Linked DNA regions of Oreochromis niloticus. The protein of the gene in region 1 purifies or fractionates together with the protein of each later gene. This does not show direct contact. Links are inferred from orthologs where the notes say so. Each region holds a gene or a part of one and is shown in the gene's direction. Other genes may lie near its edges. The genes, in order: rilpl1 and rab10.

The links.
Region 2: the proteins of rilpl1 (region 1) and rab10 purify together in Homo sapiens (co-immunoprecipitation; 3 studies listed by BioGRID and IntAct, with this or other methods). This does not show direct contact. The link is inferred for Oreochromis niloticus from reciprocal best matches to the Homo sapiens genes RILPL1 and RAB10.

The regions. Positions count from the first base shown.
Region 1 is NC_031972.2:11,431,495-11,447,969, forward strand, and holds the start of rilpl1 (RILP-like protein 1), read left to right. Parts: upstream 1-8,858; 5' UTR 8,859-9,161; coding exon 9,162-9,449; intron 9,450-12,608; coding exon 12,609-12,756; intron 12,757-13,630; coding exon 13,631-13,749; intron 13,750-15,760; coding exon 15,761-16,006; intron 16,007-16,475. Other genes in the region: hip1r (huntingtin-interacting protein 1-related protein), read left to right, coding at 1,981-2,104, 2,573-2,634, 2,903-3,484, 3,583-3,618. UniProt on the Homo sapiens protein: Plays a role in the regulation of cell shape and polarity. Plays a role in cellular protein transport, including protein transport away from primary cilia.
Region 2 is NC_031980.2:17,349,010-17,365,572, reverse strand, and holds the start of rab10 (ras-related protein Rab-10), read left to right. Parts: upstream 1-8,762; 5' UTR 8,763-9,361; coding exon 9,362-9,488; intron 9,489-16,241; coding exon 16,242-16,302; intron 16,303-16,563. Other genes in the region: kif3ca (kinesin-like protein KIF3C), read right to left, coding at 2,811-4,220. UniProt on the Homo sapiens protein: The small GTPases Rab are key regulators of intracellular membrane trafficking, from the formation of transport vesicles to their fusion with membranes.

The DNA.
Region 1 (16,475 bases):
AGCAGAGTACAGTTACTTCAGTTATATATGAATTAGCCTCCTCAATATTAGAAAAACATCGTAGCATTTTCAACTTGAATTGTTGCATACATGTCATGTCAAAGTAGGTGTGGCAAACATGGTCGTGGATAAAATAATGAATTTATTGATACTGATATAGCCCACAAATATGTTACTATGAGTTACTAGCTGTTACTATCAAACTTAATATAATTAATTAAGGATTTTTTTTCTTTTGTCTGGAGTTTGGCGCCACCTGCAGCACAGTTAAAGTACTGATAACCTATATTTGGTCTGTACCTGGACAAGAGTGAGGCTATTCAGTTTTGTTTTTTGTTTTTTAACAAACAACGAAAGTGAGCTGGATCATATGATCCACTGAAGGAGAAACATGGATTATAAGAATTTAAATGTAACAGAGTTCCTTTGGCATGATTGTAAACATGATGTTCATGCACAAAAACTCTCCAGTGTGGCTAAAACAAGAGGAGTGGGCTAAAATGCCTCCACGGAAATGTGGGTTAAATTACCAGGTGAACAAACACTTGACAACAAACAAACAATTGTAGTTCCTGCTTCCAAGGGTGGGACAACCAGTTAAAAGGTTTAGGAGGCAATTACTTTTCACATAGATGGGCGAGATGGGTTTTAGTAACTTTTTCACTTAATAAGCTAAATCACCATTTAAAAACTCCTTTTTGTATCTACGTGGATTATTGTTGTCTAATATTAAAATGGATTTGATCTGAAACCTGAGAAATAATCAGAAAATAGGAAATTGGGACGGGGCAAATACTTATCACAGCCCTGTACTTCACTATATTTATCAAAGGGCAAAAAAGAATTGGACACGTATCAGCAATAAACTGTTGTCAGTGCAAGTTAAAGCAGCTGATAGTGGCATACATATATGTCAAATGGGCTCCAAATGCCAATTGACAACACAGTGTCATTAAGCACAATGTTAGAAACATAGAACATAAAGGTGATAAAAGAATGTGTGCAATGCTCTACATTCAAGTGAAAGAACGTCATACAAAGCATGAAAAGAAAGGGGGGGAAAAAGTATCTGCTTATCCACAGCATTACTTGGTGTTCCACCCTGATTCATATATCTGTCTGGTTCTTAGGAAATTTCTTAACAAAAGAGATCTATTAAAGGCTATTTTACGTTACTAGGTTAAATATGCCAATGTTCAATAACAGTTCTTTTTACACCTTCAGATGGATGTTTGGGGGTCAATAGGTCACTCTCCACTACATCTTTAACTCTGTCCAAACCATCCTCAAGTAGCTACAGGTTTTCTCTGAAATTATTCTACACACAGATGTGGTCCTCAAAATTGTCATTACTGAGTGTTCTTCTCAATCTTTATAGCTGAATGAAGAGAAGGCTGTTTTTGCATTATGGTGAAGCTACTAAAATGTAGAATTGCCTTCCTGTCTGTTTTCTATAAATACAAATATGAATTGGTTTGTTTGATGTTTTGTTTTTTTCAAGCAAGTACACCAAGGAATAAAACAGATTCACTACTGTCCCGTGAAAAATGCACAGTTGCGCATTGATGATAGTTGCTTTGCTACATTTTGGCTGGAATTGGATTCTTCTTAGTCTTTTTGCGTTTATGTGACAGTGGAAGTTACTAGTTACTTTCCAAATTTGATTTCTCAATAAAACCAAAAAGACATGTTTTTTTATGAAGTGAAGTTTCCCTTTTAAGCCTTTCAGGTTTAAAGGGAAACTGCACTTCAGTGACTGAGTCTCAAAGAGGTAGTAATAGCCATTATTACATTAAAACCTAGAACAAAGACAAAACATGCATACAGCTCTGTGACTGTGTAAGTACTTAGAACCACCTCAGCCAGCATGGTCACCGAGTTACATCCTTTGAAATGTGCCTGCTCTGTGCCCATACATGCACCACATTGCAAAAAACTGTCCTTATGGAAGACAAACTTAAGTACTGCTACTCATTCCAGGTGAAAGCTGACCGCAACAACAAGAAGCTGAATACGCTGCAGCAGGCCTCAAGGCATGTAAATGACATGGCTGCTGTGGTTGTCACCTCCACCAAACATGGGCAGCAGCAGATCTCTGACCACGGTGAGAAGAGAAGCTCATATTGCAAGCAAATAGTTGATGCTTCATATTTTTAGTAAAACTTTATGATAACAGCATAGTTTTGTCTAAAAATGGCAGCATGCATGTAAGCAAACAATAAATCTATACAATTTGGTGAGTGCAAGTTTAACACTTACTTTAGCCCTTTTTTTGGTCTCTTATTTCTGACACTTTCTGCTGCTTAATACTTAACTGTGTTTAACAGCGAGCCAACCTGTCTACCAATGAGCATAGCATAGCTGAGCTAGCATACAGCTTTAAGGCTTGTGAGGGGTTTTTGTTCCTCTATCTCATTAGTGAGTTTGATCAGCAGCAGTTGACCATAAAATCAAACAGACTAATCAAAATGTTTAAATGCTTAAAGTAACCATGAAATTGGCTGATCATTCTGTGATTCACCTCTTGCATGATACAGCTTTGACACTCCAACTGATATTGTTGCCTTTACAGGGTTGATGGACTTCTCCGGCATGTCTCTGATCAAGCTTAAAAAAGAAGAAATGGAAGCTCAGGTCAGAACAACATGTCTCTGAATGGATTGTTTAATTGTTTGTCCTTATGTGCAACTTGCTTGTTGTCCTGGATCATGTGTAAGACAAGTATAAGACAAGTTGAGCCACCTTTAAAGAAACAGTATTGTGACTATGTGAAATCAATGTAGTTTAAAAAAAAAAAAGAAAAAAAGTTTTGGATCTTAGACTGGATCTTAACTGACTGGGTCATTGGGTTTTTAGACGTCTGGAAGCCATTGCCAGATCTTGTGCTCTTTGAATCTTTCAGGTTAAGGTGCTGCAGCTGGAGAGCCAGCTGGAACAGGAGCGAGTACGTTTGGGGGAACTGAGGAAGAGGCACTATGAGCTTGGTGTGTCAGAGGATGGAGGGGATGGAATTGATAGCTTCCCACCACCGCCACCACCTACTCTGCTTGACTCCACGGCAGTGCCTCAGTCCTTTGCACAGACACAACCTTATTCAAACACCCCAGGTTTTTCACAGTCAAATCCCTTTGCACCGAATCAAACACAGTCCTCCTCTCTGCCACAGTCTTACACACCTTCTCAAACCTACACACCTTCTCAAACCTACACGTCTTCTCAATCATACACGCCTTCTCAATCATACACGCCTTACCAGCCCTATATCCCGCCTCAGCCTTTCACACCATCTCAGCCCTACACTCCAAACCAAAGTAACTTAAATCCTCAATCTTATTCATTGTCACAACCCTCACAACCCACATCCAGTCCTGCTCAGCCTAAACAGACCCAGGCTGCCTCACATAACAGCACAGAGCAACACCACAAACTAAGCCTAAAAAAACCAAATATCTTTACCAAATCTGGGAACTTGCTGAAGAATGCGGTGAGTGCTTCTCTTGCTAAAGTTTTATAATCATCTCATCCCAAAGCTAATTGGAGTAGGTGGTGTTTACATGAGTCCTGTTTTTCTTCTATTGGCAGTTCAAACGGGGTGAACATGGAACAGGAGAATCTTGAAGCTGACTGAAGAAGAATCTGACTTAAAGATTTAAGCTAATCACTCACTAGAGGAAAAAAAAAAAATGCTTTCATATTTTGGAAACACTGACTTTTACTACATGTATCACTTGTTAAGGCTCCTGAAAATGTTGTGTAAGAGGAATTTCAAATCAACATTTCTTTGTGCTTTAAATTTGGTAATTAAATGGTAATATTTGAATTATAACACTGATGGCTATATTATCTGTGATTGATTAAAGATTAGAAAATTGTCTGAAATAAAGCTGTATTGTTCAGTTTTCTTTAGGTTTTCTATTCACAATATTTTAACCATTTTAACATTAACGACAACAGCACTGGATGAGTGTCAGACATTAACAATCTTCAAAAATGTTTGGTGGCACAACAGCTTCCACCACGAAGGCTACGTTATCCAGGCATATCCAATCAGGAGGAGTATATGCTGCAGAACTTATAAGGCTGGTATCAGAGGCATTCCCTAACACTGGTGAGCCAGCAATGTAACTCCTTGTTGCTGGTTTTCATCTACTGCTTCAAGCTTTGGAAGTTGCATGTAAGTGGGGATGTGCACAGGAAGCTTTAACACTTATTCCCTCACCTGCAACCACATCTTATGCTCATATTCCTACCACAGAAATTAAACATTCTCAGGTATGGTGTCTATCAAACATGAACAGTCTCACTCATATTCATGTGTTGGACCAATTTATGCTATAAAGCATCTAGTCACCTAAACCCCTCCTACCAAGGAAAAGAGTGGTAGCAGATGCTGAGGGCCAAGTGTCTGCTGCCACTGATACTGAGGCACACCAACAGGTGCTGCCACCTGCTTATAAACTCCCAAATGCTATGTGAATGCCATTGTTGAGAACACTGACAAAATTTGTTTATGTAGAGAGACGTATTAACTTAAGCTCAACACTAATAAAACGGCTCTTGGTTGCAGCTCCCATGGCCCTAATCTGGAAGATTAGACTATTCATTGATGTAGACTGTTGCACCATCTGGCTATGCCCAGAAATTTGCCACCTGGGTGTCATTCTGGACTTAACACTTTCATTCTATAGGGTGGGCCATTTATATGGATACACCGTAATAAAATGGGAATGGTTGGCGATATTAAAGTCCTGTTTGTGGCACATTAGTATATGTGAGGGGGCAAACTCCTCAAGATGGGTGGTGACCATGGTGGCCATTTAGAAGTCGGCCATCTTGGATACAACTTTTGTTTTTTCAATAGGAAGAGGGCCATGTGACACATCAAACTTATTGGTAATGTCACAAGAAAAACAATGGTGTGCTTGGTTTCAACATAACTTTATTCTTTCATGAGTTATTTACAAGTTTCTGACCACTTATAAAATGTGTTCAATGTGCTGCCCATTGTGTTAGATTGTCAATGCAACCTCTTCTCCCACTCTTCACACACTGATAGCAACACCGCAGGAGAAATGCCAGCACAGGCATCCAGTATCCGTAGTTTCAGGTGCTGCACATCTTGTATCTTCACACCCTAGACAATTGCCTTCAGATGACCCCAAAGATTAAAGTCTAAGGGGGTCAGATCGGGAGACCTTGGGGGCCATTCAACTGGCCCACGACGACCAATCCACTTTCCAGAAAACTGTTCATCTAGGAATGCTCGGACCTGGCACCCATAATGTGGTGATCTTGCTTCCATCTTGCTGGAAAAACTCCGGGAACGTGCCAGCTTCAGTGCATAAAGAGGGAAACACATCATGTAGTAATTTCAAATATCCAGTGGCCTTGAGGTTTCCACTGATGAAGAATGGACCCACTGTCGTCGTACCCCATATACCACACCAAACCATCACTTTTGTTGTTCCAACAGTCTTGGAGGGATCCATCCAATGTGGGTTAGTGTCAGACCAATAGCGGTGGTTATGTTTGTTAACTTCACCATTCACATAAAAGTTTGCCTCATCACTGAACAAAATCTTCTGCATGAACTGAGGGTCCTGTTCCAAGTTTTGTTTTGCCCATTCTACAAATTCTGTGCGCCGATCTGGGTCATCCTCGTTGAGATGCTGCAGTAGCTGGAGTTTGTAAGGGTGCCATTTGTGAGTAGCTAATATCCGCCAAAGGGATGTTCGACTAATGCCACTCTCCAGTGACATGCAGCGAGTGCTACGCTGTGGGCTCTTGCTAAATGAAGCTAGGACAGCCACTGATGTTTCTTCATTAGTGACAGTTTTCTTGCATCCACATTTCCAAATCCAAGACTGAACCAGCTTCACGAAACTTAGCAAGCAGTTTGCTAACTGTAGCATGGGAGATGGGTGGTCTCGTAGGCTGTCTTGCATTGAAATCTGCTGCAATGACCCGGTTACTGCGTTCACCAGATATCAACACAATTTCGATCCGCTCCTCACGTGTTAACCTCTTCGACATGTCAATGGCTGTGAACAAAGAGAAACTTGTAAATAACTCATTAAAGAATAAAGTTACGTTGAAACCAAGCATACCATTGTTTTTCTTGTGACATTACCAATAAGTTTGATGTGTCACATGGCCCTCTTCCTATTGAAAAAACAAAAGTTGTATCCAAGATGGCCGACTTCTAAATGGCCACCATGGTCACCACCCATCTTGAGGAGTTTGCCCCCTCACATATACTAATGTGCCACAAACAGGACTTTAATATCACCAACCATTCCCATTTTATTACGGTGTATCCATATAAATGGCCCACCCTGTAGATGCATATAAAATTTGTCACCAAAGCAGTATGTTTCCACCCAATGAACATCTCTTGACTTTAGCCATCCCTCCCTCACTCTTTAAAAGAGACCCTTATCTTCTTTGTTGCTGGCCTTGGATGTTGGGATGCCCTGGGATGTGGTTGCAGTAGGCCCACTTATTCCCACTGCGTGGCAGGGTACTATGGGGAATTGAGGTGCCTACTGAGCCAGCTGGAGCCTACTCTCCTTTCTCGCCTTCTCAATTTTTACATCCCAGCACCCACCCTCTGTTCATATACACATCAACATGGATCGATGTGTATTTTGGTGCATTGTTGTGTCTGTATGTCTGGTGTGTGTGGCCAGTATATGTCTGTGTCTGGGGTTGCTGTGCCTCAACTTCAGTACAACATAGTCATAGAGGATGAAGGGTTGCTTCACCATGCATGAATGCATGTTATTCATTTTTAGTTTTTCTCTCTTCCATATGCTTCAGCTTTATCCTTTCTTTGTTAGTCACAGTTTTTGCTATTGGGCTTAAATTTTTTTTACATAAACACACAGTGGTCATTTTTCACTTCTTCACTTCAGGATCTTAGCATTAGGGTAGCCAGCTAGTGATAACCTGTTCTTATATTTCTCAAAAATCCACAGTTTGACCTCTCCCCACATTTCAATCTTCATTTCTCAACATAGTTGTCAGTGGTCTGTACAGGGTCTGATGTTTTTGTGTTTATTTTCTGTTCCTCTCTCACTTTGTAAAAGTCGCTTTGAGTTCTAGGTGGAAGTGGGCTCTGTGAGTTCGCCTGTGTTCTTCTATTTAGATTGTCCTTCTCATACCTGAGGGCTGGATGGTGTAGCAGATCTCTGCCAGATTGTCTTTGCTATGTCTCTGCTTTACATTGACTAACTTTGTTACCTTGTTGCCAGTCTGTGCCAAACCTCTCCTGTTCTCTTCATGCTGCTCCGAGGAAATCTGAATGCACCATCAGCTGCTTATCACCAGAATCTAGCACCTATAAGGTGAAGGACTTTCCAGAAACTTGCTTACCTGCACAATGACCCTTCCTGGTCCTCAGCCACTCAAGCCCTCAAGTAGCAGAGTTAATCCAGTTCTCTAACTCTTTCCGCAAAACACATATCCTTCTTAGCCTCAGCTAATTTCAGCTCCCCCAAAGACTGTAGAAATGGGCAACACGGTGGTTAGCACTGTTGCCTCACAGCAAGATCTTCATATATACATTTAACTGACTTCAGTATGAGTGTCTGGTGTAAAGTAAACCTGGGACAATTTGTCAACAGATTTGTTGACAGAAAATTTACAAATCTAAATGTTTAGATTGCTGGTTTGTTTTTTCTTCTTTGTTAACATTTAGAAATATTTCTTTATATATCATTGTTCCTATTATTGTTATTATAACCCAGTGTTACAATGCATATAATATGACGTCAGTAAATATGAATGTAGTTCTGTTATTTCTGTTGTCAGTGATTCATTAAATGTTCAAAGACTCTAGGTAGACTCTAGGTACGTGATGCGTTGTTTTAGGCGTTAATCGTCTCTTCGTGCTGTAATATATTCACACAGCAACCTCGTCCGTCTCTTATTTCAGTCATGCGCAATACAAACTGCAACCTCACCACTATGGAAGTAGCCACTGTGATTCACGCAGGGACCAAACAGGAAGTAAAGTTAGGGAAAGGCAACCGGCGTTCGACTTCATCATATTCAAAATAAAAGCACTAATAAACGGTACAAGGCAACAGTGTAATCACAACTGGTACTCTGTATAAACCTGATGCACTGTTAAATTATTGTTTTGTCCATTGAGATAAGACTATTGATCTGCATAAGAACAGCAGTGGATACAGTAGGTCATGGGCCCTCATGAACAGCACATGCAAAAAGTGATGGTATTACTATACCATCACCATACCATGGTATTACTAATGACATGGTGATGCAAAATATATCAGCGTTTCACCACGTGTTACTTCGGGGTATGTTGAAATTTTCTAAGGTAGGCGCTTTCAGTGTTTCATATTTAATTTTAGCCTTACCCACACTCCCTTTTGCCAGGCCACCATTTTAAATAAGAAGTTCTTAAGGCGTCGCTTTCAGGTATTACCTGAAAGGATGACTCGGCCCCGTGTTAAGATTCTGTTGATCTTTCTTCAACACCATACACAGATGTTTTGACCATAAAGTCATAGCAGTTGTTTCTTCGTGTTCAGCTGGAAGCTATTTAATTTTGGAAAGGCTCATTTTGATATACAGGAGTCGATGATAAGTGTGCTTCTAATGTTACTCTAATGAATGAGCCTTTACTTTTCGTTGTATAAGAATAGAATTAAATGGTTTTTACATCTTTACTTAAAAGTAACGTTTTGGAATCTTGTTTTTATTTGTTAAAAAGCACATTGCTTTGCTTTGCATTAGTTAAAACATCTCAATTATAAATATATGAGAAGAGGTTGGAATATCTTTCTCCTTGCGGGTTTTATTTTGAAACGTGCTGCCGAAATTGTGAAGTTTACTTTTGTAGTGGTTGACAGCGGTAGCTGCTAGCTTACAGGGGCACCGCAGCTCCAGCAGGACAGCGATGGGACTTAGGCGATATGTATCTCAAAAAAATCAAACGGAAGGCTGGACTGAGCCGCTAGTGATGGATACGCAATAGTTTCAGTGTTATATGCTGCTTTAAGGAGTCTCTGGACACCGCTTATCAAGCTGAGGACATAAAGCGTAACTTAGCAGGCTTGTTCTTCACGGGGGAGGAAGTTTGTTGCGGCGAAGGGAACATAATAGGAAACCGGGGAGGGACAAAATATCTCGACATGGAGGACTTCGGGTCGGCCCTGGAGAAAAATGTGGCTGACCTCACGGTGATGGACGTGTATGACATCGCCGCAGTGGTGGGGCAGGAGTTTGAGCGGATCATAGACCAGTATGGCTGCGAGGCTCTGTCTAGGCTCATGCCCAAAGTGGTGCGGGTCCTGGAGATCCTGGAGGTGATGGTGAGTCGCAGCAGCATCAGCCCGGAGACCGAAGAGCTGAGGCTGGAGCTGGACAAGCTGCGTCTGGAGCGCATAGACCGGCTGGAGAAGGAGAAGAGGCACAGAAAGGTCTCACACTGCACAGCCACAGAGCCAATCACTCTCTGCTCTACAGAATAAAAGTGGAAATCAAGATTTAATTTGTCAGTGACTGTCATACTATGTTTTTGATCCGTGTAGGTCAGGACGTGTTCAGATCGTCTTCCTAAGACGATACTAATACCACAGTAAAATGTCCTGCATTTATAATGTGACCCGAGTCAAAGTAGTAAGTGTCACTCTACTCTAAAATGAATCAGGCACAAGAAAGTTTTGGATGCTAAACAATGTTAAATAAGTTGAACAACAACAACAACAACAACAACACCCCCCCCCCCACACACACACACACACAAGTACACAGAGTATTAATATGATCCATTACAGTCAATGTTGTATAGTAATATTTTGCACTCAACCATAGAAAAAACAAAAGAACACAACAAACAGTAAAATATCTATAAAAGCATTACAAGGCACGTGGATAGTGGTAACAATTACTTAAGTAAAAATCCTATAACAGGAAGGATAACCTGCTAAAAGAGCCTTTTTTCATTATATTTAAATAAAAGCAAGTACTGAAGTAAAACATGTATAAAATGCTTTTAGTGCACATTATTAATGTATAACACTAAATAGAAATGCACAAAATAGTCAAAAAATTAAAACATCATAGCTGCAGCCATAGTAAGTAGCATTTTTGTGTTTCAGCCAGAATAAATGGTGGACATAAGCTCTAAGAAGTGAAGCAGGAGGTGAAATTTCTAAACCTTTACTTTTTTTAATAGATAGCAGGGGGCAGTGACTCTGGTTTCAAACTTAAGTTAGATTGGAAAGAAGTCTACGATAAAGTGATCCTGTTTCTGACATGATTTATGATCTTGGCAAACACTTACTTTGTGAACTTATGATCTGAATTGCCTTTTTCAAGTCTCATTTAATAACAGATGATGTTAATTTAGTAAATTCTAGTAATATTTAAAGTAAAAATGACAAATCAGGTTTGGGGTGAGGCTTACTTTGATTGTATGAATACAGTGTCACAGTATGGCTGTACGTAGTATCATCAAGCACTCCTGTCAGATCAAATCCTTGATCATTATGTCCAGTTTTAAATACAGTCTGTGGCTGAAGTTGGTCGAGGTGGAGCTCCAGTGGTTGAAATGACTTTACATACAGATAGTGCTTATTCTAAATCTAGATGTAGATTCATCCAGTGTGGTAGTGAGGTGAGTATAAATTATTAATTCATATTCATTGGTGTAGGAGTTGGGTAAACTTTAGAAATGTCTAGGAATGGGTTTCTTTTTCCAATGGTTCAAGAGCCACTAAAAACAATTTATGGAGTAAAAATGTATTCATACACCATGAAAGGAAAAAAAATCATCCTTAACCACGTGCTGTATTTTATAAGGCAATTATATATTTGTATATAATCTGAAAGTAGCTATAGCTAGCAGACATAAAGGAATTGAGTAAAAAGTACATTTCCCTTTCGAATCTAAATGTAAAGTATTATGAAATGGTCAAGTAAAATATAAATGCAGTGCATTAAAGCATCGAGCTTTAAATGTTTTCATTTATTTTCCATCTTTGTGAATCTAAAAGTAGATCCTATGTTTGGGGTTTGAAATAAACCGGACACTCAGACTGCTCAGCGCTATAAAAAAAGTTAGTGTGTCAGTTTCTCGTGACAGTGACTGAGCCACTGGTTCACATATTAACTGTCTCGTGACCGTGATAAAGTGGAGAAGGCTGTTTGTGCTGCAACTCACAGGCCATTTGAAGCCAGCACCGTTTTCACATGGAAATGAAAAGCTCACATCCACAGTGAAAATATGTGGTGTAGTGTTTATTGGCTCTGTGCACAGTTTTCTTTTGTGTATATAAAAGCTAATGTAAGAGTTGTGCAGCAGTGTATATAATAAAACTTTGTGTGGGTTTTTTTTGTTTTGTTTTTTTCATGAACCCAATGACTGAATATGTAGCATATGTTGCCCATGTGTAGTGCACATGCTCCCATACTAAGCTTCCACTAAAATCAATGAAACTGATTACAGCAGGCCTCGGAGCAGTGTGGAATGGCACATGTCCACAGAATCTGTCATTTCCACACCTCCCGTGCACAGTCTGCGTAGCCTCCCGTGGTACCTTCCATCATGGTAGCAACCAATGTGTCAAATTTTGCATGTTTACAATCCTTAAAAAGTCTTTCAAATTCTCTCTTGTTGATGACTGTAACTCTTACTTTTGCTCAGAATCATAACTAGCTGTCCAACAACGATTTGGATACAGTCACCTCTGATATCATTGATAATAAAGATTTAAATATGGAATCACATCTGAAAAACATGCATCACATTTTTAAAGTAATAGTGATGTTTACCTATTCATTCACAGGTACACTGGAAAAATGAAGTACAAACAGCAAATTATGCATTCTTGTTAATGCGGCTGCTTTAACAATATGAACAGAATGACTCATACTTCCTGTTTCCTGTTTGTTCCTGGTTTTCCAGTTGCTATATGAATCATTTAAGGTCTGAGTGACTGACTTGAAGAAGATGTTTCGTTTTTGGTATCTGCCAAAATTTGTCCACAATTTAAAGCAAGACAGTTCGACTGTGTTTTATAGGCTTTTGTCATTAACGCATTACTCTTTGATTTGACGATTGTGTTCTTTAAAAGCAAATTACTGCAGTACATTCTGAAAGTTACAGATGTTGAGATTTCTTTTTCTTACACATGCGCATAAACCACACAGAGGAAAAACTCAGAAGACCACAGCAGTGCCAGTTTTGTTTTGTAATGCCGGTCTTCCTCTGGGCACCATAAATGCTTGTAGAAACTATGTCCATCCAGTTTTTGTTGAGATAGTCAGGACCAAAGTGGAGCAATGGGTTGATCCTCCCATTACACAACCAAAATTATTGCGAATGTTTGCACTGAAATTGTGATCTTGTTAGCTTTGAAATGGTTCCTTTGAACCAGGGAAGCAGGTCTGTACATAAGTGCTTGGTAATATTGCTTTTATGTACAATCACCTTGCAGTCAACCTCAGGCAGCAAAAAATCTCAATGCAATCAGGCCTTCCTAGTTTTTTACTCTAGTGTTACTGGGCCATAACAAATGTGATCAGTAGTGATATATGTACAGCATAACAGTATGTGCGTATGTGTCTGAGCGCAGGAGTTGGAGCTGGTGGAGGATGTGTGGAGGGGAGAAGCTCAGGATTTGCTCTCCCAGATTGCTCAGCTGCAGGAAGAGAACAAAACCCTTCTCACCAACATGTCCATGAAAGACCCCATGAGCGAGGAGGAGCTGCAGAGGCATGAGGGTGAGGATGTGGGGCTCCATCAAAGCAAAGTACTGTCTACCTTAAAAGAAAAAGAAAATGTGTTATATTTTTTCATGATACACACCAGTTTACAAGTGACTGAGAATGTGAATGACTTACAAGTCAGTTGCTTTAAAACATTATTATTAATATGTGTTATTCACTAATAAGTGTTTAGAAATGTTACTGCCCTATACGCAAATCTTTGAGACCAAGATTGAATCGAGTCAAAAGTAGGCTCATTGCCATCACTTTTCAGGAACAGTGTGGTTGTGCATTGGTCCTACAAAGAGCTTTGCAGTTACCATCGGATTTCTGAAACATGTACATGGGTAATTTTTTTTTTACTAACACTGTGAGCATGTGCCTAATAATAATTTCAAACAACAGACTCCTGCTTCAGTGTTGGGAGTCTGCATGCTACCACTCGAAACCTGCTGATACCTAGTAATGTTTACATCACAGCAGAGCATGAAACAGCTTGTCTTTTGCTGATTTTCCTGGAAATTCAGTTAAAGTTTGTGCCGCGTGTGGTCCGAAGCTTGTCCGTTTGCCCTCGATACGTTTCTCATGTGTGTCCCTCTATCTCTCTCTGCTGTGCACGCAGTACCACACTCAGATACAAACACAAACAAAGGGAGCCTTCTCTGTGTTAATGGTGAGCCAGTCTCATCCCTGCGTCAGAGGCTTCTCCGTGGTCTCACACAGAGGCCACAGTCACCCTGACGCACAGACCAGCTTCAGTGTACAAGCACACCTGCAAGCCTCACACACAAATCAGAGCTCACGTCTGCCTGTCAGCCCAGATGAAAAATCTATCTGTCCTGTTTATTTTTATGGTTGACAATTTTTTTCCTCTGTCACCCGTTTCCAGGTATGTCAGAAAGGGAGAGGCAGGTGATGAAGAAGCTCAAAGAAGTGGTGGACAAGCAGAGAGATGAGATTCGAGCCAAGGACCGTGAGCTCACTCTGAAAAATGAGGACATAGAAGCAGTAAGGACACAAACTTGGTGCCTCAATGAGAAGAGGCTGTTTTTTTTCTTCCTGTGTGAATTATAAAGAATTCAGATATTTTCTATATTTTAAATATAACAGAGGCCTGGTTAGATGGAGATGAGCAGCAACTGTTTTGGCTCAGTATTGAGGAGACATATATTTGCTGCCAGTGTTTTACTGTTTAAAAAAAGGTTAAAAAGCTCAGGGAAAGAACAGAAAAAATAATAATCTTAAGATTATCAGAGTGCCCGAGTTCCCCACCTTCAATTTCTAGCTTCCCACCTCAACATAGGCTAGGAAACCCTGGAAATGAGCAAAGTATTTGTTTATTTTCTTACATAATTTGTGCAAAGTCTCAAATAATTTAAGTTCTTTATCTTGATAAAGAACTTCAAACCTTTGAAGTGGATCATACCAGTCTCAAAAACAAATAGCCTACATGTATAATTTACAAAGTCTCTCTTTATCAGATGCAGGGTGTTTGATGTGTTTTGTGTGGCTGTATTTCTTTTGTATAGATTAGGTTTCAGATAACAAAGAGACCCCACCTAAACGCGACAGTGTAATGTGAACAAGCCAGAGTAAAGGTCATGCAAAGGACATCACTACAGACCAGTCTGGATTGTGTAGCAAATTGAAGACATGGCCATAGATCTGGAAAAGGTCAACGAGTCAGAAGCTCACATAGAGGACTAAAATTTCTTCAATAAACATGTAGAATTTCACAAGATGGCTTTTCAGAAAAGCCCTGGATCTGTTGATCTGTAATTCCAGTCATGCCAAAATGTATTGGTGCAAAATGCAAATATGCAGGTTTTTGGTTCTCTCAGAGTGACAGAGGTTATACATGTTACAGAAGAGGTTACAGAACTCATCTTTTGGCCTTTTGTCATAGCTCTGCTATGAATATGGAGGCACTTTTTAAAAAGGATGGATGAGTCCTGGATGAGGTGGTGGATAAAGGGAACGTAAAAATGCTGTGGCCTCAAGTTCAGGATGTTGATGAAGAAGATTCTTTAGCAAGTCAGCTAATCTACTATTGATCTACTGGTTTTCCAAATCTTTGTCAGAAAACTAAACCATTACTAATATAAATAACAGCAGCTCACACTTTAGCTTGTGAATACAGCTGTATACAACATCATAGATAAGACTAATACCAAGGCATGTGCTTATGTGTATAGTAAATTGATAGTTAACATGGGTTAATGATCTAATTATGACCAAAAAGTACAGTTTAGGGAACAGTTATTCTTGTTATAACCGGCCTGTTTACTGTGAGCAGGATGAGAGACAGCAGAGAACAGATGAGACACCAAAATAGCTACTAGAGATCTGAAGAAAAAAAACTTGGATAGGCAGATAAGACACAACACAGAACTATGTGATAGTATGTGATACTACAGTTAAACATTCAAAACAGGAAACATATTAGCCAATCATGTTGTTTTGCTGATGCATGCGCACAGTAAAGGTTCCTGAACGTTTCAGGAGTCATGTGATTCTGTACGCATGGGTAGGTAGAAAAATAATGTGCATTGTGAGACTTCAAAATGTTCTTTAGTCCAAGATTTTCCACATTGTGAAACTTACTTTAGATATACAGTGAAGTTGAGTAGTCAGATGTCACTCATTTGGTTTCCTTTGATGTCATGCTGGGAAAGGCAGCCTAGGCACTCTCACTCTGAAATGGCTAAGGCTCAGGTATTTTAAGATCCTAACAGTGAATTTCCATTTTAGTCATTTCTATTATTTCACTTGTCCATGGATTCAGCCATTCATTTGTTCTGTGGCTTTAGAAACCCCCTCACACCCACTAATGGTTTGTGTGTCACCCAGTACAGCACAATCAATATCTCCTCAGAGAGATTGCCTGAAAATGTGTGCTCTTACCTTTGGTGGCTGGCTTTTCCCTCCTGTGTGGCAGTTCTGAGAAACGGGAAACACTTCTAGCTTCCAACATGCTACGCGAGACCATGCAGCCCATTCTCTCTCTTTTTTTCTCCAGCTCCAGCAGCAACAGTCTCGACTTATGAAAATCAACCATGACCTGCGCCATAAAATCTCTGTGGTAGAAGCTCAAGGGAAAGCTCTCATTGAACAGAAGGTTGAGCTAGAGGCCAGTGCTCAGGCTCGGGGACAGGAAGTTGCTGCTCTTCGGCAAGAAGCTGCACGCTTAAGGGAACGGCTTCAAGGAGAGCTGACTGCTCAGAACCCAGATGAGCCCCCACCTCAGCCTCCTTCACCTGCAGAGGTAACAGAGCACATGGAAAACTGAAAATAACTTTTTGTTTTCACACTTTAGTTTTTTTTACAGATAATAGTACACATTGCTTACTTTAACGTGGACCTATTACACAAGCTCTATATTTCTTGATTTTTGTACTCTTTGTATGTTATATAGTTAAATAATCCTTCTTTATAATATGCTGGGCCTTGGTGAAGCCCCTCAGGTCATTCTCTGTGTGAAACAAGATGTTTTTTGCTAAATTCCCCCAAATTCCTCTTCACTGCCCTTTGCAAACAAAACACAGAAGTTTTGTACTAGCAAGTAGGTGGGGCCTCTGTGAGATGACCATATTAGGAATATCCATTGTCATAATGTGATACAGAGCCAAACACAGAAAAAATTCTTTAGTTAGGGTGGTCTGAAGCCTGAGGTATTGGAATTTTGGACATACATTGGAACAGAAAATGATGGCAAAAAATAATTAAAAAAACAT
Region 2 (16,563 bases), on another chromosome or scaffold:
GTTGGATGGTCGGGAGACTGCAGCTAAAGTATTATAGAGTGAGTCATTCAGTCATTCTGCACGAGTGACTTATTGACTGGATATGCCCATGAATCAGAGCAACTAATTAATGCAGCTCTGACTCAGTCTTTGATTGCAGGCTGTGTGATGGCGTGTGTGATTATAGCAAAGAGAGAGCTGACATTTTAAGCTTCAGTGGCTCCAGTGCCTGTCGGGACATATGAGAGACATCAGACCAAACTGTGGATACAGGGTGCTATGTGGGAAAACACATCTATGCACAGCTATTAATAGTCCTAAATGAAGATTTAAAGAGATCTGACTGGTTTTGTAAGTGTAGTCTGAGAAGGAAAAAACTATAGTAACAGCAGCTATAGCTGTAGGAGTCTAATCAGCAATATCAGAGCAAATAACTGTAGAAATGTTTGTATTTCAAGTGAAACCATCATACTGGCACATTCAAAATACAGACTGCAGAGTATGAGTACACTAATCTGTGTCTTTGAAGGTCACATTGAGGCGTTAACAAGCTGACTGTGTACTCAGACTACAAACCAGCTTTTACAATGCAGCATACAGAGCAGCATAAGAGTCCTAGCAGCTCAGTCTCATCACAAAAATTGAAATAATCACAAAAAAGCAACCCATTTGTATCTGTGCACTGACAGACAATCTGACAGACATTAATTTTTTTGTGACAGTCAGCACTATTTTGAAAGTGTTCATCCATCAGTCTTCTTAACCACCAATCCAACTCAGGGTCATGAAAGGGCTGGAGCCTACTCGAGCTGTCATTGACAGGAAGGCAGCGGGGTGCAGTGCTAAGACAGACAGACAACCATTCACACTCACAACCACCAGTTAACCTAACATAGGTGTCTTTTGACTGTGGGAGGAAGCAGGAGTACCTGTTCCTGTGTGCAGCACATATGTTGACACATTAGAGAGTATAGATCTCCATAGCAACCGAAAAGAATAGCTTTGAAAGAGGGTAACAACTGTATTTAAACCCAAACCATGATTTTTTTCTAAACCCAAAACAGTATTTATATTGCCTAACCAAACTGTGGTCTGCAGTGTATGAGCAGTGAAATGATTCACCACAATACCAACCCTTCAGCATCCAAACCTTTAGCCCTTTAAAAGTATAAAATATTAATTTTAATGACTATTTCATAAACTGCTGTGAGACTGCACTGGTTCTATACCTTATAAGCAATCAGATTAGCAGTAAACGTTTAAAACAAACCTGAGGATAATAAACACAAACTATGGTAGAGTACAGCAATACAGAGTGCTGATAGTGCAGCAATTAAACAGACTGGGGCTTAATCAGTTCCTTTAATTAAAAAAAAAAAACAATACAATGACCAATTCATTTGATATTCATGTTTTTATATATTAGTCAATTAATCTAATTTAACTCTAATAGAACACTCAAACCAGTAGTAGTGGTGACAACATTTGTAGAAGAAGAGATGGTCTTCCTGATGCAACCCCAAAGGGAACTGGATCCTTTGCTTGTTAGGCAAAGGTGTAAAATGCTACACTAGAGAATCAGAATCAGAACCAGAATCAGAATACTTTATTGATCCCTAGGGGGAATTATGTACCACACTAAATTATGTACTAAATGTACTGAATTATGTACTACACCACTGGGCCACTAATAAGAACACTTTGTAAAGGTTAGCTAGCACATTTACTCTGAAGCACAGCTGCAGATGGATGTTTGTATGGTTAAAACTTTCAGATTACATTTTAGTGTAGGTTAAGGTCAGAGTTTGGCCTTTAGTTATGATATTTGGGATTAGAGTAAGGGTCCAAGGAGACGTGGGCAAAATACGACCCTCGGTCCGAATCAGCCTGCGCACCATCTCAATCCAACAACCACAGAGAAAAATCAATCAAATCCAACACTGTGTTAATGAATCTCAAGAAGTGTGTCTCCAGCGAGTCTTTGGGTATTCAGGCCTGTAAAACAATCTGTCATGTCCACCAAATTAACTGAATACCATACTTCAGCACCATGTGTGTCATGTTTGACTTTAGATGTCCTTTTTCAGAGAGAGTATGGCCCTCTGGAATAAAACGTCAAACCTAAAATAAGAGGATTCTTTTCTTCTACTTTAAAACAAACATTAAGATGACATTCAATAAGAGGGTTTAACATTTATTCAAATAAATCATAAAACTGTTAAATCATCGATCAATGCATTTTCTTAACCGCTTATCCACTTAAGAGTCACCGGGACACTGGAGCCTAGCCCAGCTGTTACTGAGGCATACACCCTGGGCAAGTCGCCAGTCCACTCTCAGAAATCATCACTGTACAATATCAAAAAGCTTCTGCTAACATTATCAGGGAGAAAAGATCAATTACATGTATATTTTAACAAAATAGATCTTAAAGTCCAAAATAAATGAATAGGAAGTGTTTTATTGGACCTTATTAAATGTCTCTTTTGTGATTTTTAATTCTTTAACCACTAACTTTTCCAATAAATTTGTTTTATTTCTAGTACTTTTAATTTAATCCAGAGAATTTCTGCACCAATACAATGTGTAGCACCATCTAACATCACCTATGGAGTTTTGGCATCTCTCTACACTTTTCACCATTTGTTTCTAGTTTTTGTTCTCACTGTTTAATCTCCTGCTCTCTTCTTTTATGGCCTCAGAATGTACTATTCAATTTGTCTTTTGTGTGTGTTTGTCTGGAATGGATAAAAGAAGAAAGAAAGCAAATAAGGAACAAAGAAAGACAAGAAGATTAAAAAAAAACAAGTAAACCACCTGGTTGGACTCACCTTGTACTTGGCGGTCAGCTGTTCTGTGGCTTCCTGCTCCTTCCTCAGATCCACCATCATCCTCTCTTTCTCTCCCAGCAGTTTCTGCTTCTCGTCAGCCATCAAGTCCTGGTCTCCTCTAATGGCCTCCTTCTCGCTCTCTAGCCGTTGCTCCTCCAGCTTCACGTAGTCCTCTCCCTCCTTCTCGACCTCCTCGTCCTCTTCGTCCTCAATCTCTTTCTCCTGGTCTCCGTCCCAGCTCTCGTCCTCCACCTGCTCACTCTTCTGTTTGCTCCTCCACTTCCTGTGGTTGAGCTGGGCCCTGAGGCGAGCAATCTCCATCTGGAACTCCCGCAACAGAGCATCCTTGGGGTCCTCGTTGACTCTGGGCTGGTTCTGGATGTTCTTGGCCCGGTTGGCGTACCGAAGGGTTGTGAGAGTCTCGTCGTAGTGCTGGGGGGCCGGGCCAAGTGTGGCAACCATAACAGTCTTAGCATTCCCGCCCAAAGAGTCCTGTAACAGCCGGGTAAGCTTGGAGTCCCGGTACGGCACATGTCCGCTGCGCCCATCTGCCAAAGCGGAGATAACATTTCCCAGTGCTGACAGGGAAAGGTTGATCTTGGCGGCCTCTTTCAGGCGCTCGCCCTGAACGCCGGTCTTGGTTTGCCGCTCGCTGCCAGCCAGGTCCACCAAGTTAAGGCGTCCAACCCGGATATGTTTCCTCCCATCTGGCCCAGGCTGACTGCACTCCACAGTGATCAAAAACAAAGCGTGGGACCTGGACGAATGTTCATTCATGTCTGTTGCCCCAACCGCCCTCGCCTGATTGCCCACATTCATCACCTCCTCAATCTCCTTGATGCTCTTGCAGACACAGGATGTGAGATCTTGAACATACACACCAGTCTCTGGATTCTCTCTGAGCTCCAGGGCTCTAGCATTGCCGTGATTGGGGTCAAGAAGATCCCGAATCTCCTCTCGGTAGATCTCGAGGTAGGACGCCCGCACTAGGTATTGCTTGTCAGATTGGGAGCGGGAGATGTGTGTGAAGATATGGTCAAAGGCATTGGGAATCACACCTCGTCTCTCTGGGTCCAGCCACGCTCCCTGCATGGTGTATGTCTTCCCAGTTCCTGTCTGCCCATAGGCAAATATGGTGCCATTAAACCCTCCCAGCACTGAATCTATCAGCGGCCGCACGCTCTCGTCATACAGCTCTCGCTGTTTGGAGTTTGCATCATACACTGCATCAAATGTGAATGTTTTCTGGGGCTCGCTTGGTGGTGCACGAGGGTTTCTGAGGATTACCTGTCCCAGCCGTAGATCCATCTGCACTATTCCCCCTGCAGGCCCATTGGACTCCTCTTTCCGGCTCAAAGGGCGGCATCGAACTACCACCTTCACTGACTCACTGCTCTTGTTCTTTGACATGACTGGCTTCTGTTACTCGTTGCAAACAACAAAAAGGGTAAATGTGTATTATCTAAGTCCACAAAGCCCTCTGAAGCCCTTAATGAGCATATATCCCGTCTGTTAACTGCATGTGTTTCTTTAAATCATTCATTCAAAAAAAAAAAAATCATTATGGCTTCTTGGTCATATCACAATGGAAAACAGCCACAGTGCCAAATAGCATAGACTCAGATATTTACCAATACAGATGATGAATTGCCACTGTGTGTAACAGCCAGTTTCCTTGGCTTATTGTGCGTGAATGAGCCTACAAGCAGACGGACGATCAGCACCTCTCACGCTTTGGATCGACGCTCCATTGCAGTCCGATGAAAAAAGAAAAGATCCAACAACGCCGGTAATGACACAAATCAGTTCAGACATCACACTCATATCGTCCTCGGCGTGCAGCTCCGAGGCAGACCGCTGTACGCATCCTCCCGTCCTCCGCGCAGAGATGCTCCGAGGTGGATTTGCAGCTCTCGGTCCGTCCGGAGAGACAGAGCTTCCCTCTTGTACACCCCCCTCCCACCCCAAACCCACATACACAGTCATTCAACCACCACCACACCCCACATCACTGCGGAGTGGAACAAAGAATCATGGGAAATAGAGTTTTGCCTCGCCAAAGACTCGATTCTTGTCCAAGGCTGCCACCAACTCGTTAAATGGTCATGGATGGTTTGTACAGCTGGGAATTTAAACTGGACCGTTTGCGTGTTTGTTTACACAGTGGATGCCCCCATAATTTGAAACATTTTCTTAAAATTATAGTTCATATGTATTATTATAGCCCTCGCACCGACATTTAGCCCACACAGCTTCCCATTTAAGTGCATTAAGCTTGGGAAAATTAAACACAACCCTCTCATTACACACTGGATGTTGTCATAAAGAAAAGTTCATCTAGCTGTTTATTTTCAAACTGTAGGAAAATAAAAGAAACATGGGATCTCCTCTAAAATTAAAATAAAGCTTTGGCCCTTGAAGAGTTCTTGGTTACCCAGCAGGAGTCTGTATTTACTGGATCACTGAAGGGTCAGCTGGGTTATTTCCTGCTTCTGTGCAATTACCTCAATTACCTCTATTCTCACAATAATAGAGACAGAAGATATTCAAGAAGCCACACTGTCACTGCACAAAAACACAATAAAAAGGTGATGTGATCAAACAGGAGTGGCACTGGATACTTTAGTGGAAATAGATTTGTTGCAAGAAAAATACAGAGAATATTATTGTAGTTTATTTTTGATTGATTGATTTTGCTCCAAAAGGAAAATAAAAGCACCATCCCTCCTCTAATGAGCCACGTATTCTCAAGTCAACACTGTGTGACAGACGCTTTTCTTAAAATCTGACTTTTGTCCAGTGGCTTTCAAGAAAAAAAATAGATGCATCTGTCAAGGGGATTATGCAGCATTTTTCAGAATGCAACATTAACTACAGCAAAGACACTGCAAAGGTCCACACCTACAGTAAAGACCGGGATCTGTTGGAAAGTGGTTTTCAGTTTTCAGACAGTCATAAGGCCTATTATCAATTACATACTCTTACTTTCACCTAGAGTAATGTTAAAAAAGACTAGTACATTTTTTTATAGTGACATCATAAAAAAAAATTAATTAAAGAGTATAAAGAATTATGATCTAATCCTGTACAGTATCAATAAAAACATAATTAAAACAGGACCCATATGTGCAGAAATTATTTTAAAAATATATAAGCAATAATTACGTTTGTTCTTCTGTTTGTGCTGCAAATAACTAAGCGTGAACAACAAAACCTGAATTAATTAAATGTTTTATGTAAAAAAAAAGTTAATTATTTAAAAAAACAATGTGCCAGAAAGGTGACTCTGCGCTGTGTAAGTATAGTCACTAGATCCCCGAGTTATGTCAAAGAAAAAATAATTTCCTTCTGATTTGGATGAATCCGGGAAGTATAACTCATATTTAAATGGCTACACAAGAAACGGAGTAATTTCCCAAATTCATGACTCATCTATTGAAGAGAGAACTCCAGTTTGTATACAACTGTTGTCCCAAAGCAACAAAAATTTAGGGCAAGGAGGGAAAATGTAAAATGAATCATTTTAAAACTCATCTAAGAGCATTCAAGTGCAACACATTAGCGCCCTCTGCTGGATCAAGTGTGTCGTTAAAAGTCACCCAAGTAGGTCGAGAGGACTCACGTGAGTAGTCTTTCCAGGTGTAATGGAGGAGGTGACGTTGTAGGTGATTTCGGAGCGATTCTCTGGAAAACTACCGAAACTTACATTCAACTACTTCCCCCAACCCCCGTGTTCGCTGACAAAAAGGTGAAAATCACATGCCCAAATCCCCACATGGGGAATTCAACACACGGTGGGAAAGCTAATGGACACAAATGACTCAACACCTCACTGAGCACTGAGATGTGTTTAATGTGCCCGGAGAAGCAATAATAAGTAAATGTACTGAACTGATGAAAATAACACATAATAGTAGTGAAAATTCCCCCGGCTCAGGTGATCCCGGTGTCACCTTTCATGAGTCACTCACAGCCAAGGCTTTTTCAAGCTCACCACAGACTATCCAGCTATGTGTGAAGTAAATATCTGGATGCGATTGCGGGTAATTTGTATTATAAAAATGCTAAGCAGCTGATTTAAAATAAAAATAAAAACCCATTAATATATCAAGAATTTATGGGTTTCTACTGAATAAATGAGGTTTCTGAAGTTTATTGTTGGACCAAAATAGGCAAGGCAAGGCAAGGCAAGGCAAGTTTATTTATATAGCACAATTCAACAACAAGGTGATTCAAAGTGCTTTACAGAGACATTAAAAACAAAAACAAATAAAAAGCATGATCTAAAATTGATTAAGACAAACAAACAAACAAACAAACAAACAAACAAACAAAACAGTGTTTAAAATCAAAAATGAAAACAGTAGATAAAATCAGAACAGTAGATAAAATCAGAGCAGTAGATAAAGTCAGTAGTTAAAGTAGAATAGGTAAATCAAGTAGTTGTTTCAGCACCAGTGCGCAAAAAATCAAAGTGTTCCAAGCCAAACAGTTTGAGGCCTGAATCAACTTGCATATCTTCTTCATCTAAGCTACAAAATAAATACGTCCCCAATAGAGCGTTTTAATTTTTTTTATCACAGGCAGAAGGAAGAAATTTGAGAGTTGTTGTTCGTGCGAGGCAAACCCCGAGGGCCCCTGAAAGAATTTCTGTGTTGATTTATTAGAGTGAAAAAGATTTCCTAACAGTGGAGGAAGAATGCAGTGATTCATTTAGTATTAAAAAAATGTTCTAATTTAGCAAGTGACACATAAAGAAAATCTGAGATAAATGATTCCCCATTTCCGGACAGGAAAAATCATGGATCCTGTAACTGTGCAGGAATTCATGGATTTAAGTAAACAGATCATAACAACAATGTGTGTATTCACTGCATCACTTAAAGTATATAAGCTTTCATTATAGTCCCTATACTTTATTACTTTAATGAATCACTTTGTATCTTATTGACTGCAGGTTTGAGCATGTGTGTCTTTTCTTAATTTTCCATATAGTGGATAACTCTTTTCTTTCCCGTGGGTGTTTGCCTGAGGAAGATCTGTGGTTGGCTGGCACATAAAAAGTAAAGGGAGCGATGAAGCTTTGTTGACTTTGGTCCACTGCAATGTGGCGAGGAACTTTTAACTCCAGGCTTTTCATCTAGCACCACAATGTGGTCAAATTTCAGTTTGTTCAGTACTCTGGTGGCATTGTGACAGCTCTCTGTAGCAGACGTAGAGTTGCTGGAGTGGCAGTATAGACTATTTAGCCCCGCTCAAACTTTCTTTTTCTCTGACTTCTTTTTCTCTCTTCATATCTTTCTTCCCCAGTTTGCGTCAAGTCTGTACTTGGCAGTGGAAAGCAGGGCATACTCAGCATTCCTAAGGAGTGTCTGAGAGTCAAACAACTCTGACAGGCGGAAGAAGGAAAGAGTCCCTCTCCTTCTTTCTCACATACACACAAAGCCAACTCTAAAAGGCCCTACAGCAGTTATGTGTACATGCAGACTGTCTCTCGGTGTGTATACTTATTACAAGACTTTAGAGGATCAGTGACCTTGCACTTCACAGAGCAGAGGATGTGGGAAACGCCCGTAACAAGCACAGAAGTACTTATATATGACATCACTTTGCCTGACTCACAGCTGGGATAGTCACCGCACCAACTGCCAGCTTGCCATGAAAGCTGAAACACACCCCGGCTACAAGAGATCCGCATGAAACTCGTCGCCATTTTGGGTCACTAGCGGGATTTCACAGTGAGATATAAGCGGTGCTTTGAGCCTAAATGTCAGCGTATGTTACACAGTAACATTTGCCCTTTCTGTCAGGCTAAGACACGCCCCCTTTTTACCGCTACAATGCCTGTTTGGATAGCCATTCAGATTAGGGCGCTTGAAGGAGCGACAGCTGAAATGACCAATCAGAGCCGTGAATTTTGACAGAAAGGGCGGGAGAAGGCGTGCCAAAAAGTCTAGGGTGTCGCCGCGGTGGCTCCCATTCGAAGGCGACGGCGGTCGTCTGTATTTCGGTCTAATCTCTACAGAAAAAAAAAAGCGAAATTACTTGGAACAGACAGCAGATTCGGCGCACTTTCATGTCGTGATTTTTCCCAGTTTCTTCTCGGTCGAGCTTGTCCCAGGGCTCTGGAATGACGGGGTGTGCCGAGAATTTGAATTAGCTCGCCGTTAGTTTGAAGAAAGAGTGAATCGGGGTAGAGTGCGAGAGAGGAGCCATTTTGTCCCGACTGTGTGGGAGAAAAGAAAGAGTGAAAAAGAGGTATCACACAGAAGGAGATCCTGTTTTTGCTCTCATGCTGTAAGGGGGGGTACCACGGTCGGGTTTGGGAATCTAGAACTTCTAGGACGACTCTACAGGCACATTATTTTGGGTGGTGTTTAGCCAACTAGCTTGCCAAAGCTAATCAACAAATCCACAGTTTGTTAACTGTTAACAGCCAAGAGGACAGTTGTTGGTCAGGTTGGCCAAGGAGCTGGCTTTAGACTTCACATAGGCATACTCTAGGGTATCGGTTTTTGTATCTATCGGGGTGAACACAAACTGATTCTTCAATGGCGAAGAAGACGTACGACTTGCTGTTCAAGCTGCTTCTGATCGGCGACTCGGGCGTGGGGAAGACCTGTGTGCTGTTCCGCTTCTCTGACGACGCCTTCAACACAACCTTCATCTCCACCATAGGTAAGAAGATCACGGGCGTTGTAACAGGTGATTTCGTTGACCCTTCTGCATCCGCCGGAGGTAGTGTGACAGCTGTGAGGCTCGTCTGGTCGTACCCTGCAGCTGGAGGCTGTATGCAGGACGGATTTGTTGGTGGCTAGTGTGCTATGAGCATGCAGCAGCTCTCTCTAAGGCCTGTACAGGTTAGCTGGGAAGCTAGTTGTGCAGCCTTTATGAGCTCTTACTAAACCATCACTTGCACATTATTTTCACATGATTGCGACTTTAATAACAAAACGCTATCATTATTTCTTGGTTTGGTTTAACTGGGCAGCAATGATTACAGCCCGTTAAGTCTCCAAATTTGCTGTCAGTTTACTTGACCCAGAGGCTAAGAAGCTAGCAAGGCTAGTAGCACCACAGGGCCGTGCTGCACTAGAAAAAAATCGCCTGTCTATTTAAGTGACAGGTGTTTACTTCTCAGTATCAGCCTATATAGGTTTATTGCACAGTCCTTGTCAGGAATTACACCCTAAAGGCAACAAATGTATGAGTGTTTTGATTTGAAGCAACAAGAAATGCTTGATTGTAAAAGCAAAATTTTACTTGATTATCACAAGTTGAAGGTGTGATTATTCACGGGTTCATGGTTTCATGGGTATCAGAATCAGAAAGACTTTATTTATCCCCAAGCGGCAATTAAGATACAACAGAGCAGCATGACGTTGAAGATAAGGACAGGATTCATGCTTCAGATTGTTGTCCCCGCTAATAGTAATGGAGGTGAAGCTGTTTAATCAACTTGGACATTCTCGTATTGGGAACTTGATTATATCATGTAAGAAATTGACGTTTTAGGTGAAAACTCTGACTATAGTGAATCTAACTGTATAAAAGCAGCTGAAAATTGCAATTTCTTTTTAAAATTAGAAGTGCTTATAGTTTGTATTCTAAATACTTGAGTAAATATACTTATTTACTTTGCTCAAGTGCTCCAGTGAGAACCATAAAGAATTCATCATGATGGCATCATCATCACCCCCCCCCCATCCGTCCTGTTCACGCATGCGCCAAACATCACGCTCACATGAGTCAAGTGTCAAACTATGTCAAGTCCCTGCATGGCCCAAGTAAAGGCTCCATTTACTCCTGTTGCTTAAGATTAGCGATGAGTAATAATGTAATATAAAACGTGCTTTGCTCGACTGCAATGTGCTGGTGTTATGTGCTTGATTCATGGACTGAGCTTTCATCTGAAGCCGTGCTCTTTGTCGCTATATAGCCGAAAGCACACAACTGTAAAGGGAAAATGTATTCTCACTGGCATCCAGGCTAGATTAGATTTGTTCAGCTAGAGCACTGACCTGTCACTCTGTTGTAAATCTTCATGTCACATGTACTCGTTTTATTGTTTTTGTCATTCCTTTAGTTTTGCTTTGACTTGCAGGGTGTTTGTTTTATTACACCCCATGTTGTTTCTCAGCATGCAGTCAGTTAGAACAAGATTTAGGCCTATGTGTTTTATTTGAGTCAAAGCCACCATATCAGATCTGTGTCACTTAAGGGAAGAAATGTGTAGTGTTAGTTGGATGAAGGGGAAAAAGTGGTCCAGACTAACAGGTTCTTCAGCACGTAGAGACCGGTAGTGACCTTTGCTCCTTGCATAGGTGCTTTCCTGGCAAGATGGGTAGTAAGTCAGTACTTTTATGTTTTTAAATCAGCTACCAGTGCTTTATTTGCTTTCTTAAATATATTCTATATACTCTGTGTACTCTCCTCCATGTGAAGCAGCTGAGGATAATGTGTTAAAATGGTGCTGGAGGTATTCACACCTTAAACTCAAGGGATTTTCCTCCAAATTAAAAAAAAAAAAAAAAAAAGATATCATCATCAAAACTAAAAATCAATAGGGTTGGAATGAAAGTACCTTTCAGTTTATTTATGTGGTGTTTCTTTTACTCAAGCATAAAATACATATTTGTTTATCAAATGGCCATAACTAAATGGGAATGTAAATACAGACTTGATGCTTTAACTGTGTGCAGATGTAGTCATCGCCCTTAAAGGTCCCTTTTGAGGCAGGAAACCCCGAAACATACCCAGTTTCTGTGTAGTTCATAAAAACAGAGTAGTGTTATCTGGCACAGCTTCACCTACTTCCAAGGTGCATGGATAAGAACAAAAAGTCAGAATGTGTTGTCCCTCATGAAGGTCAAAGTTCACAAGCCAAAATGCATCAGTCAGATAATAAAGTAGTTCTGTATATTGCAAGTGTTGCTGGAGCTTTAACCTCTCTGTGTAATTACATGGGAACAAACTATGTTGGTTATGAAGGTATTTAAAGTATCAACGTGATCAGTCACAAGTGCTTGAAAAGAAAGTGTTGACAACACTGACTGTGGTCAGTTTAGTTTAGGAAGTGATCGTTTTAGAGTGTTCAGTTTGTTATGATCTGTCAACTTGAAACTTAAGAGGAAATACTTGAAAATCAAAGAACAGAGTCCTCTATAAAACTGCAGCATAGTTCGTGCGCTTGAAAGCTCTTGGCTCGTCTCTTGTCTTTGTTCTACATCTGTATTCAAAACAAAGCCGCATGCAGTGTGATAAGCTGTAAAAATTGTATGTAGAACATGTCATCTTTCTCCAGTCACGTAATCTGTACGTAGAGTGGTGTATATGGTTATCAAAGCAAATCTGTAAAACTATACTTTTAAGATTATTTCAATCAGTACAGTTGATAATGTTCTAGCGAATCATATAATTACAAGATACCAATAACTTGTATGTAAAGGTTAAATACATACTGGATACTGTAAAAATTACTGTATTTTTAAGGTTAGAAACCCAAACATTGTTAAAAAGAAGCTGGTTTTTTTTGTTTTTTTTTTTAAAAGTTGCAGACAAAATGCGGGGGTGGGGTGGGGGGGGGATAAATCAATGCTAAGACAGTTAAAAGAAGACAACAGTAGATAGATACCTTTGTTTTTATTTATTTTAAATAATCTTGTCTTGTCTATGGTGATACATCAAAACTGTGCAGTATAAATGTCTCTGGAATATATATCTATGTAGGCACATTTATACATATCTAATCCAACACAGACTTGCAAATGTTTAAAGAGTAGGTGTGTAACCAAAACAATGGTTCAGTCTGTGCCTCGGGTTTTATAAGGAATGTATGAACAACAAGGAAAACACAATCACTTGAACATGAACAAAAATTAGACTGTATTTGCAATTCACTCATCACCTGAACAATCTGTACTGCTTTCACCAGACTAGTATGCTTCATCAGTTTCACATGGATATCACAGTACAGGAAGCCACAATATTAAATTGTGGATGTTTGTATATGATTTCAATCTCATTTTCAGAACTGTCATGCCTCTAGTCAAGAGGCTAGGTTTGAACATGAAAATGGGGTCCAATGAAACCACTAGCATGTGACAACCCTGCCACAACTGTACAGTCACCTAAGAGTGGTTTGAGGTTGGGGATGAGCTTATCAAGCAGAAATAGTTTTCAGTATTCACTAGAAACTGTCAGTTTCTTGTTCAGTACCAGTGCCACTGTGGCAGACCTGACATGCTAGCTTTACCTGGTGGCTTATGCACCGCACCTAATTTTTGAAGAAGTTTTACACAATTTTTTCCTTTTTTTTTTTTTTTTTTTTTTTCTGCTTGTACAATATCATCTATTCTCACTGCGCCACACATACTTTACCAGCCTGATCTGTGGTTGTCAGTAGTGCATTCTTCTATTTTTGTTGTTTAAGTGGTTGGTGGGAGACAACTTTACATTGGATCCACAGCTTATATCCTACCAGACAGTGGTCAAAAACTATTGAAGGAGCTATTCACCAGGATGTTACTCTCTAGTTTTGGACTTAGCGTTTTGAAGCTTCAGTGTTAGTGTTTTGGCTGCCACCATGTTGTTTTTTTGGAGCCAGGAGTTAAGTTAGTTTGATAGCTCTGTTACCTAACATATCAGCTAATGCCTAGCAAGCTTGGTTGGAAAGCTACATGTGTTAACTGTACCTGTGCAACAGCTCATTAGCACAAAGAAACAAGCTAATTAAATACTAGAATTTGACTTCTCGCGATCTTCGAAAAATAGTGATGTTTATTCTTTTTTTTAAACCGTATCACTACATTAAGCAACAGATAAAATGGCCTTTAATTTGATATAATGCTTACAAGATATGAGATAAGGTTGACAAAAGCTTTTCCAGAGTAGCTTTATATATAACATTCCAGAGAAGCCATAAAATTTCTCTCGGTTACATTTAGGAAATCCTCCACTAAAGGGGCCAGATTTACTAGTTAATAAACACCTAAACTAAAAAGCTGAAAGGAACAAAACTCCCAACGGCAGAAGCAGGACATGAAATGGGAATGTGTTCTTCCTCTGACACAGGACTCATACCATTGGAGACACAGATTCACAGCTGTTTCTCAAAATACCCCCACTGGAAACCCCCCCTGCTCTCTTCCATCACTCATTCCTGCTTCCAGTCCGTCTCTCAGCCCCTCCCTTACACATTACGCTTATTAAGTGAGTGAATATGCATAGTATCGACTGAAATCTTTTTCCATTTGATGAATTTTGCGCGGAAACTGGCAGAAGCAGACAGTGGCTTTCATACTTGTGGAAGGAATGGTTCCTCTGGTATTAAGAAAGAAAGCCGACCATAAACCGCTTGCGTCCAGCTCAACAGTCACATCTCATGGAAAGTGTCATTCTTTACAGGATAGGTATAACTGTTTTTCCACTGATTGGATAAATGATCCGTGATTGCACAATGCGCATAACTTGTTTCTTTCTCTTTTTTTCCCCTTCACAGAGTAAAAAGAGTGAACTTCTGTGTTTACTCTCCTCACTAGTAACACGTCATCCCTGTTGAGGCTGACTTCAAGAGCTTAACTTTTGTTGTGTAGAAAAAGCTCCCTCTTTTACCAGCGTTAAATGCTAGCCTTTCTTTCTGTCCAACTGTATCTTTCTCTCCTTGGGATGTGCATAATATTTCATGACTCAGGTTTTGGCAGGCAGTTTCCTCATTATTCTATAAACTTGCCCCACCTAGAGCACAGCTGTTTCTTGGACTTTTTAACCAACCACAACGTCTGACCAAGAGCAGTACTGACAGCTCAGTATTTAGTAGGAAAACACCACTTGTTGGCTAAAAATGAAACTGATGAATCACCTACCCTTCACATTTAAAGTGTAAGAGGATAATGATCTAGTGTGTTTTACTTTCAAGTGGGAAGTTGATGGTTGAATTGCCTTCTTATGTTTTCTAGCTTTTCCAAAGAGAGAGAAGTTATTGGTTTGAGTCAAAAAATCCCCTACTGTTATTTAGTTCATTATGGTTTTGAAATGCAGAAATCCTACATATGCCCAGGTGAGGTGTTTAACAGTTACCGTAATATCATGAGTCATTGGCTGTTTGTTGTAGTACAGATTTAAAAGGACATAAATAGGTTAAACTAAGCGAAAGAAAAACATGAGGGAAGTTGGCCCCCTGTTTAATAAGTAACCCCTCTACCCTTAACTGTAGCTCTACACCCTTTTTTCCCAAATGATAAAATTCAAATTCCATTGAATGTGAAAAATAAGCTTCAGTAACTTTCCACTGCTTGACAGTTATTTGTAAATCTTGAAAACATCGACATTGGAAAGATTGCACACTGCAGCACCACAAAACTTCTCCCCCGAGTTCAATCTCCAACCAAAAAGGGAAAAAACAACCTTAGGCTGAAACCTCAGATATTACAAAAACACTTAAAGTACTAGTTTAAAAAAAACTCTTATTTCAGACCACCTCAGTTTTACAGTTGTGAGAGTAGTGCCTGAGAGGATGTGAGGGTCCTCCTGGGTTCAAGTGATGTAAATTTGATAATCAAAGCAAAAATATGGTTCAGTTTTTACTTAACTATGGACTTTGGTAGCAGTGCATTCATCTTATATTTTAGTTTTTAATGGTGAATGGCAAATATCCTGTGGGTGTTAGTATTAGTAGCCCAAAGGTGACAATTAAACAAACAAAACAGAAAATATAATGTTTTAAGATGAGAAACGGTACCAGTAAGTACAGTTATTCCACATACTGTTAAAGCAATATGATGAGCCTGTGTTTGCTTACTTATCATAAATTTGTAGAAATTTTCTGTTTCTATTTTAAAATGCAAAATGTAAAAAAAACAACCCTGGTGACTGTCCTTTGAGGGGAAGCCCGAAACCTTTTTGGGGTGCACCAGAGTACAAGTTCAGTATTTACTGGCTCATACGGTCTAGTGCGCTTTAGTCGTAGTAGCTTTTATTTTTCAACCTTGTAAGGACCAAATGCACTACAAGGTGCAACCTATATATACATTGTCAAAATGTTTATTATATCTATTTTTAAAAAAATACTCACAGCTGTCTGAAAACAAGTATAATTTTGACCTCAGTGACCCGGTTTGTGTGCACCCGTTGTTGCCCAGCTGCTGATCACAGCTGTCTGCTGAGAATGACACTGCAGAATCAGGAAGAGATAATGCTATTGTTTCTATGATGGCAACAGTTGTCAGTCACGTCCCATTTCTCTCTGCTGAATGTGTTTTTGTGGCCATTGCTCAACCGCTGTCGTTGATTTATCTGTTTCTGACCTTCACTTTCTCTTTGTCACAGTGCTGGAGCCATTTATCCATTCATCTCTCTTCTTATTCACGATGGCTGATGTTCTACAAGTGATGGATATTGTTTAAGCTGACATGTTTGTTTTTTGTTTTGCAGGAATAGACTTCAAGATCAAAACTGTTGAATTACAAGGAAAGAAGATAAAACTACAGATCTGGTGAGTCAATTATAGATGTGAGTTTTTGTTTGCATGCCAGTGTTGTGCAGATGCGGAAAACACACCAAGCTTGTGAGAATCGTGTTTCAGCGTTGCCTCTTTTGTGAATAGTTATGTCATGATGAAACATCTGTTTGACATACCTCCCTTAAGCACTGAAATATGCAGGAACAGGAAATGATCATCAGTCCATTAGGTCTGCTGTAGGGTTATTGTTGTCCATACCAGAAGAGTTATTATTTCTTCTTTCTTTTTTTCCCC